3 linked regions of the Oryctolagus cuniculus genome follow. The protein of the gene in region 3 purifies or fractionates together with the protein of the main gene of each other region. This does not show direct contact. Links are inferred from orthologs where the notes say so. Each region holds a gene or a part of one and is shown on either strand. Other genes may lie near its edges.

Region 1 (4,172 bases), on a different chromosome or scaffold from region 3:
AAACTGTCATCATTCTGCACACATCCACAACTGACAGAAAAAACTTGCTTGGGATCAGTACAGCTCTGGCCATTGCAGCCATTTGGAGTGAACCAGGAGATGGAATACCTCTCTCCCTCTCTCTCTCTCTGTCTCTCTTTAACTCTGCCTTTCAAATACATAAATAAATAAATCTTTTTAAAAAAAGGTAGTAAATTTTAAAAAAAGTGGTGATAATGTGCAACATGGGCAATCACACATCAAATCAATATTCTCACTGGCAGTGTCAATGGTGCAACCTACAAAAAGGCAATCTCACAATTCCTTAGTCTAAGGAAACCATTCAAAACATATAAAATGCTAAATTAAATTAATGCAGAGTTGCATTGTAAAGCTATTCCTGACAGACATTAACTACAAATGGAACTAAAAGACCCAGTAATAGGTAGCTAACAAAAAAAAGTGTGGTATGTTCAATTATTAAACATTAAGCCATTAGGAATGGTAATCATTATGACACAGCAGCAATATAAAATTTTGTATGTGAGGATCACATGTGTGTGTGTCCATAACTATTTAAAACACTAAAAGAAAAAGAACAGAGGAAATCAATAAACATTAATGAGTAGTAAGATAGAAATAAGCCTGTAATTCTTTCTAAAATGGTAGAAAAGTTTATAACTTATACAAACAGAAAAATACATATATATACATTGTACAAATGCAAGTGTACATTCACACATGTAAAAATAAGTACATGGTTCTTTAGTAAGAAAAAGCACTCTGAAAGAAATGGACATAAGGCCATAATACAATGAAGAAAAACTAATGAAATATAAACATATAATTTGTTATTACTCTAAGTTTAAAAACCTTTCTGGGGACTTGCACTGTGGCACAGCAGGTAAAGCCGACACCTGCGGTGCCGGCCTCCCATATGGGCCCGATTCAAGATCCAGCTGCCCCTCTTCTGATCCAGCTCTCTGCTATGGCCTGGGAAAGCAGTGGAAGATGGCTCAAGTCCTGGAGCCCCTGCACCCACGTGGGAAACCCAAAAAAAGCTCCTGGCTCCTAACTTCGGATTGGCCCAATTCCAGGCACTGCAGCCATTTGGAGAGTGAACCAGCATATGGAAGACCTCTGTCTCTCTTTTTTTTTCCTCTGCCTCTCTGTAAAATAAATCAATCTTTTAAAAAATAAACTTTCTGGGAATAAAACCTCTTCCCTTACAGCCTCTTTATAAATCAATACAACTCATCTCATGCTGTTATATAGAGTATAAATTAAATACATACTTAATCAATATACTGAGACCATGCCTATCATCCGATTTATGACTTTCATATATGACTATATAAGAAACATTTCCCCAAATTGGAAACTGGGGACTCAAACAGGTATTTGTACACCAATGTTCGTAGCAGCCTTATTCACAACAGCCAAAAGGGCATATGGATGAACGCACAAACAAAATGCGGTTAAGTACATACAATGAATACTATTCAGACTTAAAAAAGAATAAAATTCTGAAACATGCTACCATCGCAACTTTAACCTTATGTTAAGTGAAATAAACCAGATAACTAGAATAGGTAAATTCATAGAAAGTAGAACAGTGGTTACTAGGGGCTGTTGACAAGAAAGAATAGGTTACTGGGTAGTTTCTATTTAGGATGATGAAAAGGTTTACAACAAGGTAAATAGTGTACTTGTCACAGAATTATACACTGTAAAAAAAGTTGTGTAGTTGAAATAATTTTTTCATGTGGTATTTACTCTCAACAGTATGGTTTTTCAACAGTAACTTACTTTTATAGTAATTGTTTTTTAAGGATCACTGGTATCAAACTTGAATATTAAAAAACTACCCTTCAGATGTTCAGCTATTTTGGAATTGTCAAGAATGCAAATAATCCAGACTCCAGTTTTCATCTTCAAGTTTATTATCACGTATCTTGTATCTCTTAAATGTCTAAATCCTAAATGTCCCCCTATCAAAGACATTCCGCTTGTCAGAAACCTACGGCCGTTGACAGTAACTTAAAGCAACAAATACTCCCATTCCTAATAGCAACGAGAGAACTCCGTTGGATGAAAACGATTTGTATTTTTCTTTCTTCGCGTAATCAGTGAGCTGAGGGGACCCCACAGGCACCCAGAATGTGAAGCCCCCGACTCCCCGGCGCGGTGCGGACCGACCGCAGGCGCACCTCGCCGGCACCCACCGCCTTCCGTCGCACGCACCCTGCGCCGCAGGAGGCGGGAGCGCGCACGCGGGCTGACGCCGGCGCGGCGCAGACACACGGGGGCGCGGCCCGCCAGACAGCCGTGACCCCACAATAAGACGGCGGACAGGGCTTTCCCGGCGCCCGGAGATGACAGCGTGCGCCGGGTGCTCGCATGCCACCCCACCCAGTGACCCAGGCCTCGCGCCTGGGGCTTTCCCGCCTTGACTGTTTGGCTCAAGGCCTGGTGCCTGGCGGCGTGCCCTAAGATCGGGACTAGTGCCCGTTCTCTGAGCAGCCCTTCCACGCCCCCTCCTCGAGGCTCGGCCCCGACCGAAGGCGCCGCGCGCACCTTGACGCTCTGGTCGCTGGAGCAAGTCGCCATCCGCCGGCCATGGAAGTCGAAAGAGACATCATGGATGAGATCCTTGTGGTCCGCCGCGATGCTGCGCGCCACAAACATGGCTGCCGCCCGCTCGCGCCTCTTCCGTGCGCCCCTCCCGCCTCGGAGGAGGGCTGTGGCGCGCAACCCGCAGCCCGCCGAGACCCCGCCGCCCGAACGGGCACGGCGCGTGCTGTCCGCGCGCCAGGCCCCGCCCCCTGCCCGTCATGCCCCGCGAAGCCGCCAGTGCGTCTGCGCGGCGCGTCCGTGAGGAGGCTGAACGGCCGGCAGATCCTGCTGTGCGCGCTTGGCGTTACCTGAACTGCAGTGGAAGCAGTGAGGAAATTAAGGACAGTTCAAACGTTTTAAGTGTCAGCCTCAGTGTTCGGCCCTGAATCAATTTGGGGGAACATTTGGATGTATTTCCCTCCAGACAAGTGCCTCGGGAACGGAGCGAATGGCGAAGTCAAAACGTCAGGAACAGAGATCTGTCGGGACAACCGAAGGGCAGACACTAGGAGATGACGCCACAAGTCCAGGCTCATTGGCCTTAAAAAGAGATCGGGGTGATGAGGTTGAGGGAGAAGAGAGGATATGCAGAGTTTTCAAAATTATTAGTCCTATCTTTCTCCTGATGGGTTGCATCAAGAAGTGTTACACCTGGGAAAACAGCAGATGACCCGAGTTCTTGACCTCTTGCACCCATGTGGGAAACCAAGAAGAAGCTCTTGGCGCCTGGCTTCAGTCTGGCCCAGCTCTGCCTGTTGTGGCCCTTTGGAGCAGGAACCAGAGGGTGGAAGACATTGTTTCTATTCTCTGTCTACCCACTCTCCTCTCTTTGTAACCCTACTTTTTAAATAAATAAATCTAAAACGGGGCGGGGGGGATAACCTGGCTTTTCTGAAATTTTCTTGCTTTTTTTTTTTACACTAAAATTGAGGTTCTGTTGCTAGTTTAGAAGGAGACCCCTTGGGGGCCAGTGTTGTGGCATAGTATGCTAATCCTCCGCCTGCAGCACTGGCATCCCATATTGGCGCCGGTTCTAGTCCCAGCTGCTCCTCTTCCAATCCAGCTCTCTGCTATGGCCTGGGAAAGCAATAGAAGACGGCTCAAGTCCTTGGGACCCTACACCCGTGTGGGAGACTGGAGGAATCTCCTGGCTCCTGGCTTCAGATCGGCGTGGTTCCAGCCGTTGCGGCCATTTGGGGAGTGAACCAGTGGACAGAAGACCTTTCTCTGTGTCTCTCCCTCACTGTCTAACTATACCTCTCAAATAAATAAATAAATAAATAAATAAATAAAATCTTTAAAAAAAAAAAAAGGAGACTCCAAAGCTGTGAGTTGGAGATAATTAACTTCTATAAGCTATGACCTAAGCTCATTTCATACAAGGTCCAAACAACCTACAAAAAATATATTGTAAAAATTTTAATTAAAATTTTTAAGCAGAGACAGTGAACATATCAGTAGTTGCCAAGACATTATCTGAGCAGCAATGGAGTATTTCATAGGTTATATATGTCATTTTTTTAAAATAGTTTTTACAGCACTTTAAAATTCACAGCAAAGTTGTACAAAGAATAGAG
Region 2 (3,983 bases), on a different chromosome or scaffold from region 3:
CAGCCCGGTGGGTCCGGGGCTGTTCTCTGCTGCAGAAGACGCCTGCCTTCCTACCCTGCGCCCCTCCACCTAGAGGTCAGCCCCGGTTCGTCCGGGATCCGGCCTGTCCACTCTGAGCACGTGGTCTCCGGCCGGTCTTCCCGGGCCGAGGTCTCCCGTGGTGGGGGGTGTGTTCCGGCTCCATGGCTGCCCTGGGAGACTTGGCCGGTCTCCCCCACTTGCACGCGCAGGTGTTGGTGGGGTGGCGGCCACGCCGCTGGCGTGGAGGGGGCACGTTCCCCCCCCCCTTATGCACGGGGAGGGGGCACGTAATCTCGCCCCCCGCCCCCTTATGCACGGGGAGGGGGTGTTTAATAAGCCGTGCTTGGGAGTGATGGAGGTTGACAGGGAGGTTGAGAGGTGTACAGCGAGTCTGTGTGGCCTCGCCCAGCGCCCCCGCGAACGTGGTCCTGTGGCACGTTAGTCGCCAGCCCGGGCCAGGAGCCTCGGCACGCCGCCCTCCCTTCACGCCTGTCCCCTCTTCCCCGTTGGGCCTCCACAGCCCCCCTGCTCTGTGGCGGTGGCCCCACACTTGGCCTTGACCGTTTTGAAGACCGTTCGGTACTTTATGGAAAATGCTTCAGCTTTTTAAAATTTATTTGAAAGGCACAGTTACAGGAGGGCTACTGCATCCGCTGGTTCATTCTCCCAACGGCCGCAGTGGCCAGGGCAGAGCCAGGCTGAGGCCAGGAGCCTGGAGCTCCGTGCAGGTCTCCCCCGCGGGTGCAGGGGCCCAGGCGCCCGGGCCGTCTTCTGCGGCCGTCCCGGTGCATCCGCAGGGAGCTGCAGCGGAAGTGGAGCCGCCGGGGCTCGGCTCGGCGCACGGATGAGACGCTGGCGTCATGGCGCAGCTTGGTACGCGGCCTTTGAGGGGGTGGCTGGGTGGGCTGTTTTGAATAACTGGAAGTGCAGATGCCCACCAGGAGAGCCCCGCGTCCCCCCGCCCCCAGCAGCTTGACTCAGTGGTGCTAAGTGGACGCCAGTTAGCGCCCTGCGCTGCTAGTGCGCGGGTGGGGCCTCCGCAGCTGCCTGCCACCCGGGTCGTGGTCTCTGGGGTTGGGGCGCTGGCCCCTTCACTCCTGGGCCGTGGCTGCTGGGACTCCTTTTTTGGTGCGGAGGCACCTGTCGGGGAGTGAGGCGGCCGATTGCAGGCAGGTTGCATCAGCTGTGGCTCTTTGCTGGGAGGAGCGAGAGGATTCTCTGGGGGCCCAGGAGCACCTGGCAACGGCTAGGCTCCCTCCCGCTTAGCCCTGCATGAGGGAGAGGCCCCACGCAGCCTGGTAAGGGGCTCGGAGGGGGAGGGGACCAGCCCCTGTGTGGGGCCCCAAGAATCCAAATGGAGCCTCGGGCGTGGGCCAGCTGCGGAGACCAGGCTGAGGCGCCAGGAAGTAGGAGAGGCGCGCAGAGCCCACCGTCAGGGCCCGGGGCCCTGAGCGGGCTCCAGGCCTGGACCTTCAGCTCACACCTCAGGTTTGCCGAGCTGTGTGGATCCAGCCTGCCCTCCCCTGTCACCTGCGCTGTTGCCGCAGCCCCCCGTGTTTCCCAGTCAAGGTAGCGCTTGGCGTGATGGAAAGGGCCCCAAGTTTTGCATCAGCCAGGACCCAGGTTCCAGTCCCGAGCCTCAGCACGGGTCCGAGCCAGGCGGCCCGCACACCTCCCACCTCCACCGCGTCTGGGGCCCGGCTCAGTGGCCCAGGAGAGCTGCCCTCCTGAGCAGGGCTGGGGGCCGGAAGTGGGGCGGGTGAAGCCCAGCGCCGACGGGGCGCAAGGTCTGTGCGTGTTCACTCATCCCGCTCCGTCCACACTTTGTTCTGTATTGGAGGGCAAGGTCAGGCACCTCCTCCCCAGAATTGTCCCTCACGGCCCCAGGCTGCGACCTTGGAAGTGGTCAGGACATTTTTGTAAAAGATTTCTTTTTTTTTTTTTTTTTTTTTTTTTAATTTGAAAGTCAGAGTTACACAGAGAGAGGGAGAGGTCTTGCCTCTGCTGGTTCACTCCCCAATTGGCCACAACAGCCAGAGCTGCGCCGATCCAAAGCCAGGAGCCAGGAGCTTCTTCCAGGTCTCCCATGCAGGTGCAGGGGCCCAAGGACTTGGGCCATCTTCCACTGCTTTCCCAGGCCACAGCAGAGAGCTGGATCGGAAGTGGAGCAGCCGGGTCTTGAACCAGTGCCCATATGGGATGCTGGAGCTTCAGGCCAGGGCGTTAACCCACTGTGCCACAGCGCCGGCCCCCAAAAGAGTTGTTTTTGCGCAGAAGTTGGAGATTCAATACAGCGGCTGCTGCGCAGGGTCAGGGAGGGTAGCAGTCACGCAGACCAAGGGTGCAGGGGCTGGGGGTGGGCGTCCTGGCAAACAAGGGCAGAAGGCCAAGGCCAGCTCCGCTGCAGAAAGGGCAGCGTGGGGGTGGGCAGGCGGTCAGGCTGCCACGTGGCCGGCGGCTCAGAGTCCCCGCAGGAGCGCTCACAGCCAGGCCAGGCCCCCGCTGCCGAGCTGGCTGGGCATCCTTGCTGTCACCCTCTCTCGGTTTCCTGTTCTACTGTCACAGGTTGCCACGCACTTGGCTCCCTTAGAGCTCTGGAAGGAGGGGACTGAGGTGGTGCACAGCGCTGCGCTCCTGGGGCTCGGGGCAGACGCTCGTCCCCAGCCTGCGAGCCCACCTGTGTCCTTCAGCGGGGGCCTCTTCCTCACCTCCTATCGTGCCGTCGCCTGGCTCCCCCATTGCTCCTCCTGCCTCTCCCTGGAAAGACCTGCGGGCCTGTACGCAGGGCCCGCCTGGGTAACCCAGCGCAGCACCTGTGACACGGAGACAGGAGGAGGGCGGAACTCCAGCTGTGGACTGGCGAGGCCGTTGTGCCGCCTACCCTCCTCCCCGAGCCCCAGGTCCGGGCCTGGGATAGAGGACAGGGCCAGTTCTGGGTTGCTCCGTCCCTTGGCTGCTGTCACTCGCCCTGGTGGCCTGTGCTGCTGTCCCCTCCAGGGAAATGGGGGTGCAAGCAGAACCAGCACCTGGCTCAGCAGGTGAGAGCTGTCCCCCCAGCCCCGTGGGCCTGTGTCGGGGACACAAGGAGTACCTGGGCCCCTGGAACGGCGCAGGTGATGTCTAGGGCTGGCCCATGGTCCAGGAGCGGCTGGTTCCACGGAAACGGAAACGCTGGATTTTTTTTTTTTTCCTGTGAGATCGCAGTCTCAAAGGACAGCGAGTAATTCAGAAGGAACGCGGGAAACCGCAGCCGGTTAATCAGCCAGGGGCTCTGAGCCGGAGGGGCTGGGCGCTCCTGTGGTTGGCACGTGTCCCTGGAAAGGCCTCACAGGACACTTGGGGCCCCCTGGTGGTCCCCCCCAGCAGGTGCATGGGCAGGGCCCTGGGTTCCCTGACTCCTGCCCACCCTGCCACAGCTGGAAGAGTTGGGTGGCAGACGAGAGCAGGGCCCCTCCTCACTCCAAGCCTCTTGGGCCCCAGGGTGGGAGTCCCCTTGGATGCCTCTGTGAGAGCTGAGCTGCCCCAGGAGGTCGTGCGACGACCTGGGGTGTCACAGAGGGTGGGTGGGGTGCTGTGTGGCACCGAGGAGAGGCTAGCTGGGAGCCGGGCTGTGGTCAGAGTCCTAGTGAGCTGTGTGACTTCGGGCAAGGTCCTCAAGTTCTCTAGGCCTCGCTGCGCTTATCTGTGAAGGGGGAGTGACCCCAGTTCCCACCAGTGCAGATAAAGCCCGGAAAAGAGGACCTGTGTCCCTGAGATATTACTGTAGCCATTAGACTGGGGCAGAATCCGTCACCCTGCCCCCCACGCTGGCTGCTTTCCCTGGTTCCCAGAGAAACCTCTCCATGGCAACCCCTCCCTCCCTCCCCCGCTGACATGGTGCCTCTCCCCTGGGGAAGCAGGTGTTGATGAGTGAGGCGGGGTCTTGCCCCGACACGGCCCCTGCCCCCTGCTTCAGCCCCTCT
Region 3 (4,037 bases):
CTACCCTCTTTCAAACAAGACCCTGATTTCTCCCATTTAAGAGAAAGGGACGCTACCACAGAACTGAAATGAGGAACTACAGAAAGTGACTCTAGGACTCTTAGCTCTTCAGCTTCCCAATTACAGAACTTGACAACTGAAGGGTTTTTCATAGATAATTATTCCAACAAAATGCAATTTATTAACTGACTATAAAGATAAGATAGAGGTATGTATGATTTTACTAATACTAAGAATGTTTTCACTAGAGCAGTAGTCTCAAACAAGGACAACTGACAATTTCTTGAGACATTCTCAATTGTAACTTGAGAAGAGGTGTTAGGGGTATCTAATGATGGGACAGGAATGCTAAAATGCTAAAAATCCTACAAGACTAAAGAGAGTTCACCACAATAAATATCTGGCCCAAAGTGTCAACAGTGCCAAAGAAACCCTGCTCAGTAGATGTTTTCATACCTTGCCTCTGAATGTTCAATCTAAATCTCTTATTTCTCTAACCTTTCAACAAATTGCACAATTACAGTTGTCTCTTTACTGGAAATTAAACATCAGTCCTACTTCTACTTCCTATATTAACCGCCTCCATATAAATATTACAATAATATGACCAATTGTTCCCAAGCTCTGAATTTGGTTCCTTAAAAATCTTATTTGCGTTTAGTTATCCAGGAACTGTGGACATAAACAAAGTCAAATACCAAAGTACCACATAACACATAAACGGATTGGGACCCCTTATCTGGTCCCCAAATTTTAGAAGCCCACAAATACCCAGCCTCTTTGCTGACTATCTGTAGTTTTAGCTCTTCCATATTTGTTTATTCTTGAATGCAAATGAGGGCCCACTATGTGCAAAACAACCTGAGTACAAAATAAAAAAACATTTTACCATGGTCTACTAGAAACACAAACAGCTAAAATACAAAATGGTATGTGCTATAAATAGAAGCATCAAATAAGTGTTAGGGAAGCTTAGAAGAGAGAATGCCAGGAAAGGCTTCCCAGAAGAGGGTGATGCTTTAACTGAGAAATGTCACAGAAAACATATACTGTTCACATTTTAATATTTAGACTACAGTTCCCTTCCTCTCTTAAGCACTACTAGTTTTCAGTTTTTGCTTTGTCATCTAAACAACAGCAAGGTGCCACTCTAACAGATGTCAACAGACCACCGTGGCAACTAATTCAATTTCATCAAATCTTAAGTGAGTCAAAATAATTCTGTCGAAGCATTTCCTAGTGCATTCATCCTGTTCTACCTCTGATTTGGCTTTTAAAATAGCTTAATTTCCTTCACCAAGCAAATATACTGTCTGCCACCCAGTTAACTAGTGTTTCCTTCGCAATTTCTAAGACTCTTAACAGAGAATGCTCACTGCTTGTTTCTTTTGTTCTTCCAATTCATTCCATTCTCCAAAAAAAGAGTTTAATTTCCTTGCCTTACCCTACCACAAAACCTCACTTTGAATTCTGCACCTGAGCCAAACCATGAGTTCCAAGGTACAACTACAAAGTGATTGTGTAGCTTTTTAAGTCTTGTGATGGTTCCTACAACAGTACTGTTGTAGTAACCGTATGCTGAATCCTCAGCCACACAGTGACAAAAATTCAGATTTCTAATAGGAAACTGGACAACGATCCCCAGTGCCCCAGTGGTATAGATTCCTTTCCAGTACATACATCATTGCCATTTTCAAACCCACTTTTTAGTAATGGCGGTCTAGGTTAAGAGATACTAATGAAGCTTCTACCTGGCCATGGACAGAGCTGGTAGCAACTAAAGCCGTCAGGCTATTGAAGGTAAGTCTACTTCTAACTACTGAATGCCTCTGCTCCCCTCCCCCAAGAGAATCCTTAATAATGGGAGAGTGGGACACGCATCCAGGGAGGGTGGGGTAACAGACACATTTCGAAACTGAGTCGAGAGATCTGGCATTCGCTAATGCTGTCTCCGCCTCTGGGCTTCAGTTTCCCCATCTATAAAACCTGGATGTGATGCAGGCTATGGGGGTTGATCTGAATAATCTCTAAGGTCCTTAAGATTACAGTTAGCCAGAAATCCAATTTTTTTAAATCTGGCTGGATACGCAACACGTGGGAAAAAGACACGACCCTTTCACTACACAGCACCGACCCTAATTCTTGTATATTGTCTTTAGAAGCCTAGAAACTTCAGACTCACCCACCCTAACTCTCGGGCTGCCCATTTCTCCTACGGGGAAACCAAGGCAAATAAAGCCCACCCCGCACGACAGTCGAGGAAGTGAGTCAGACACCTTATCCTGGCTCTCTCCGCTCTGCCCCAGCAAAGGCCGGCCCCCGAGGGCTCCTAATCACCGTCAAGCGAATGAATGAGTACGAACAGATAGATGGAAGCTCCCCAAGCGTGGGCTGCAACTGGAGACCCCCGGGCCTACACCCCTCCGAAGTCGATTCCCTCCGAGGACACGAAGAGCCGGTCCTCCGGCCCGCAGCGAAACGGGCCCCGCCCCCTGCCGCCGGTCAGAAGGTGCGCGCCCGGGCGCGAGACTTCGGCGCCGCGGGCCTGGGACGCCCCGCGCACCCGCCCGCCCAGAGGGGAGGAGGAGCCTGCCCGGTCCCTCGCCGCCGCCGCCGCCGCCGCCGCCGCCGGCCCCGACTTACCGCGCTGCGGGGGGGAGGGGAAGTGTCCGGAGTGAGGGCCCAGGCCCGTCCGCCGCCCGCCGCTCACAGAGCAGCGCGAGGCTGCCAAGAAACCGTCGCCACCGCCGCCGCCGCCGCTCCCGACCGCCGCTTCAGGCGCAGCGCGCAGAGGGCCCGACTGCGTCACACGCCGCCCGCCGTCAGAGGCTCAGTCCGGGCGCTCCGCCCTCGCCGCCTGCGCATTGGCAGATCCAGCCGCCACTCTAGGTTCGCCCTGTTAGTCATTGGGCGCTGAGTCTTTTGAAACCGAACGTGAGGGCGGTCTTCGGGAGGGGGGGGAAGAGGAGGGTCAAATGGAGTTGGGGAGAGAAAGGGGAGGGCCTGTGGGAGGTACGTGGAGTCCCGCCCCTCACAGCCGCGGTTGGCTGGGAGAGAGTCTTGACGTCACACAGGGCTCCTCGAAGGGGGCTAGTGAGTGGCCAGACTGGTGTGCACTGGGCGGGATGTGGGAGAAGAGTGATGACGCTACTTGGAGACTCCGCCCCCTTCCTTCGAGCGGAGAGACTCGGGCTGCGGGCGCAGGGGCCAATCAGAGGGAAGGCCCCAGGATGGCATGGTAACTATTCTACCCTTTTCTTGCCCCAGTCCGCGGGCGGTGATGGGAAGGCTTCCTCCTCGCCCTGCTCACACTTCCTGGACAGACCACGTGCGGAGCTGGCCGCTCTTCCTGGGAGGTGCATCTGTCCGCAAAGCTATTCTGTGGCTAAGAGGCCCTAAATCCCTACCTCCTTGTCTCTTAACCCATGCCCGCACCAGCACACACCCTTTCCTTTTATCCCTAGGATAGACATTATGAACATTAGAGATCCTGTAAGGGAATGGCCAACCTTAGATTCCGGTACAACTAAGGATTCTTAGAACTTCTGTCCCATTTGAACGTTGAGAACCCGTACTTACTCTTAAAGGCCTGGTTCAAATGTCCCCGCATTTGCTGACTTTTCCCAGCAAGCTGCCTAATGCTTGGTTAGGTCTCTGTTACAACCTTGTCACTTTGTATCCTGTTATTTATTCATTTTCTGGTTTTCTTTGCTGGGGGCTTTTGGAGGTCAGAGAGCTGCGTTTTCATCCTCTTGCTCTTTTCCTGCCAGGGCCTAGCCCAGAGAAACCTGGTATTACAAGAAGCAGAGGTGGGCTTGTTCTAGAAACTAGACCTCTGGTGGCTGAGGCTCTCACACAGAGTTACAGCAGCAGTGTTTAGAAAGTGGAGTATGCAGAACATGTCTCCACCACCACCCCTCCTGGACCATGAAAACAAGGGAGCCTTGTCTAACGCTTAGATGAGTTTTCAGTGGTAGCGAGGAATGAGAGATAACTGACCTGTTGTAAAGTGGAGTAGTAGTAAGGACTGGTGTTGG

The links.
Region 1: the proteins of NUP98 (region 3) and SEH1L fractionate together in Homo sapiens (co-fractionation; 3 studies listed by BioGRID and IntAct, with this or other methods). This does not show direct contact. The link is inferred for Oryctolagus cuniculus from reciprocal best matches to the Homo sapiens genes NUP98 and SEH1L.
Region 2: the proteins of NUP98 (region 3) and NUP62 purify together in Homo sapiens (affinity purification with western blotting; 3 studies listed by BioGRID and IntAct, with this or other methods). This does not show direct contact. The link is inferred for Oryctolagus cuniculus from reciprocal best matches to the Homo sapiens genes NUP98 and NUP62.

Annotation. Positions count from the first base shown.
Region 1 is NC_091441.1:69,834,922-69,839,093, reverse strand, and holds the start of SEH1L (nucleoporin SEH1), read right to left. Parts: upstream 2,801-4,172; 5' UTR 2,668-2,800; coding exon 2,557-2,667; intron 1-2,556. UniProt on the Homo sapiens protein: Component of the Nup107-160 subcomplex of the nuclear pore complex (NPC). The Nup107-160 subcomplex is required for the assembly of a functional NPC.
Region 2 is NC_091449.1:7,660,853-7,664,835, forward strand, and holds the start of NUP62 (nuclear pore glycoprotein p62), read left to right. Parts: upstream 1-1,183; 5' UTR 1,184-1,293; coding exon 1,294-1,319; intron 1,320-3,983. Other genes in the region: collagen, type I, alpha 1b-like, read right to left, coding at 1-50, 827-883. UniProt on the Homo sapiens protein: Essential component of the nuclear pore complex. The N-terminal is probably involved in nucleocytoplasmic transport.
Region 3 is NC_091432.1:63,101,829-63,105,865, reverse strand, and holds the start of NUP98 (nuclear pore complex protein Nup98-Nup96), read right to left. Parts: upstream 2,801-4,037; 5' UTR 2,644-2,800; intron 2,495-2,643; exon of another isoform or gene 2,277-2,494; intron 1-2,276. Other genes in the region: PGAP2 (post-GPI attachment to proteins factor 2), read left to right, coding at 3,142-3,238. UniProt on the Homo sapiens protein: Plays a role in the nuclear pore complex (NPC) assembly and/or maintenance. NUP98 and NUP96 are involved in the bidirectional transport across the NPC. May anchor NUP153 and TPR to the NPC.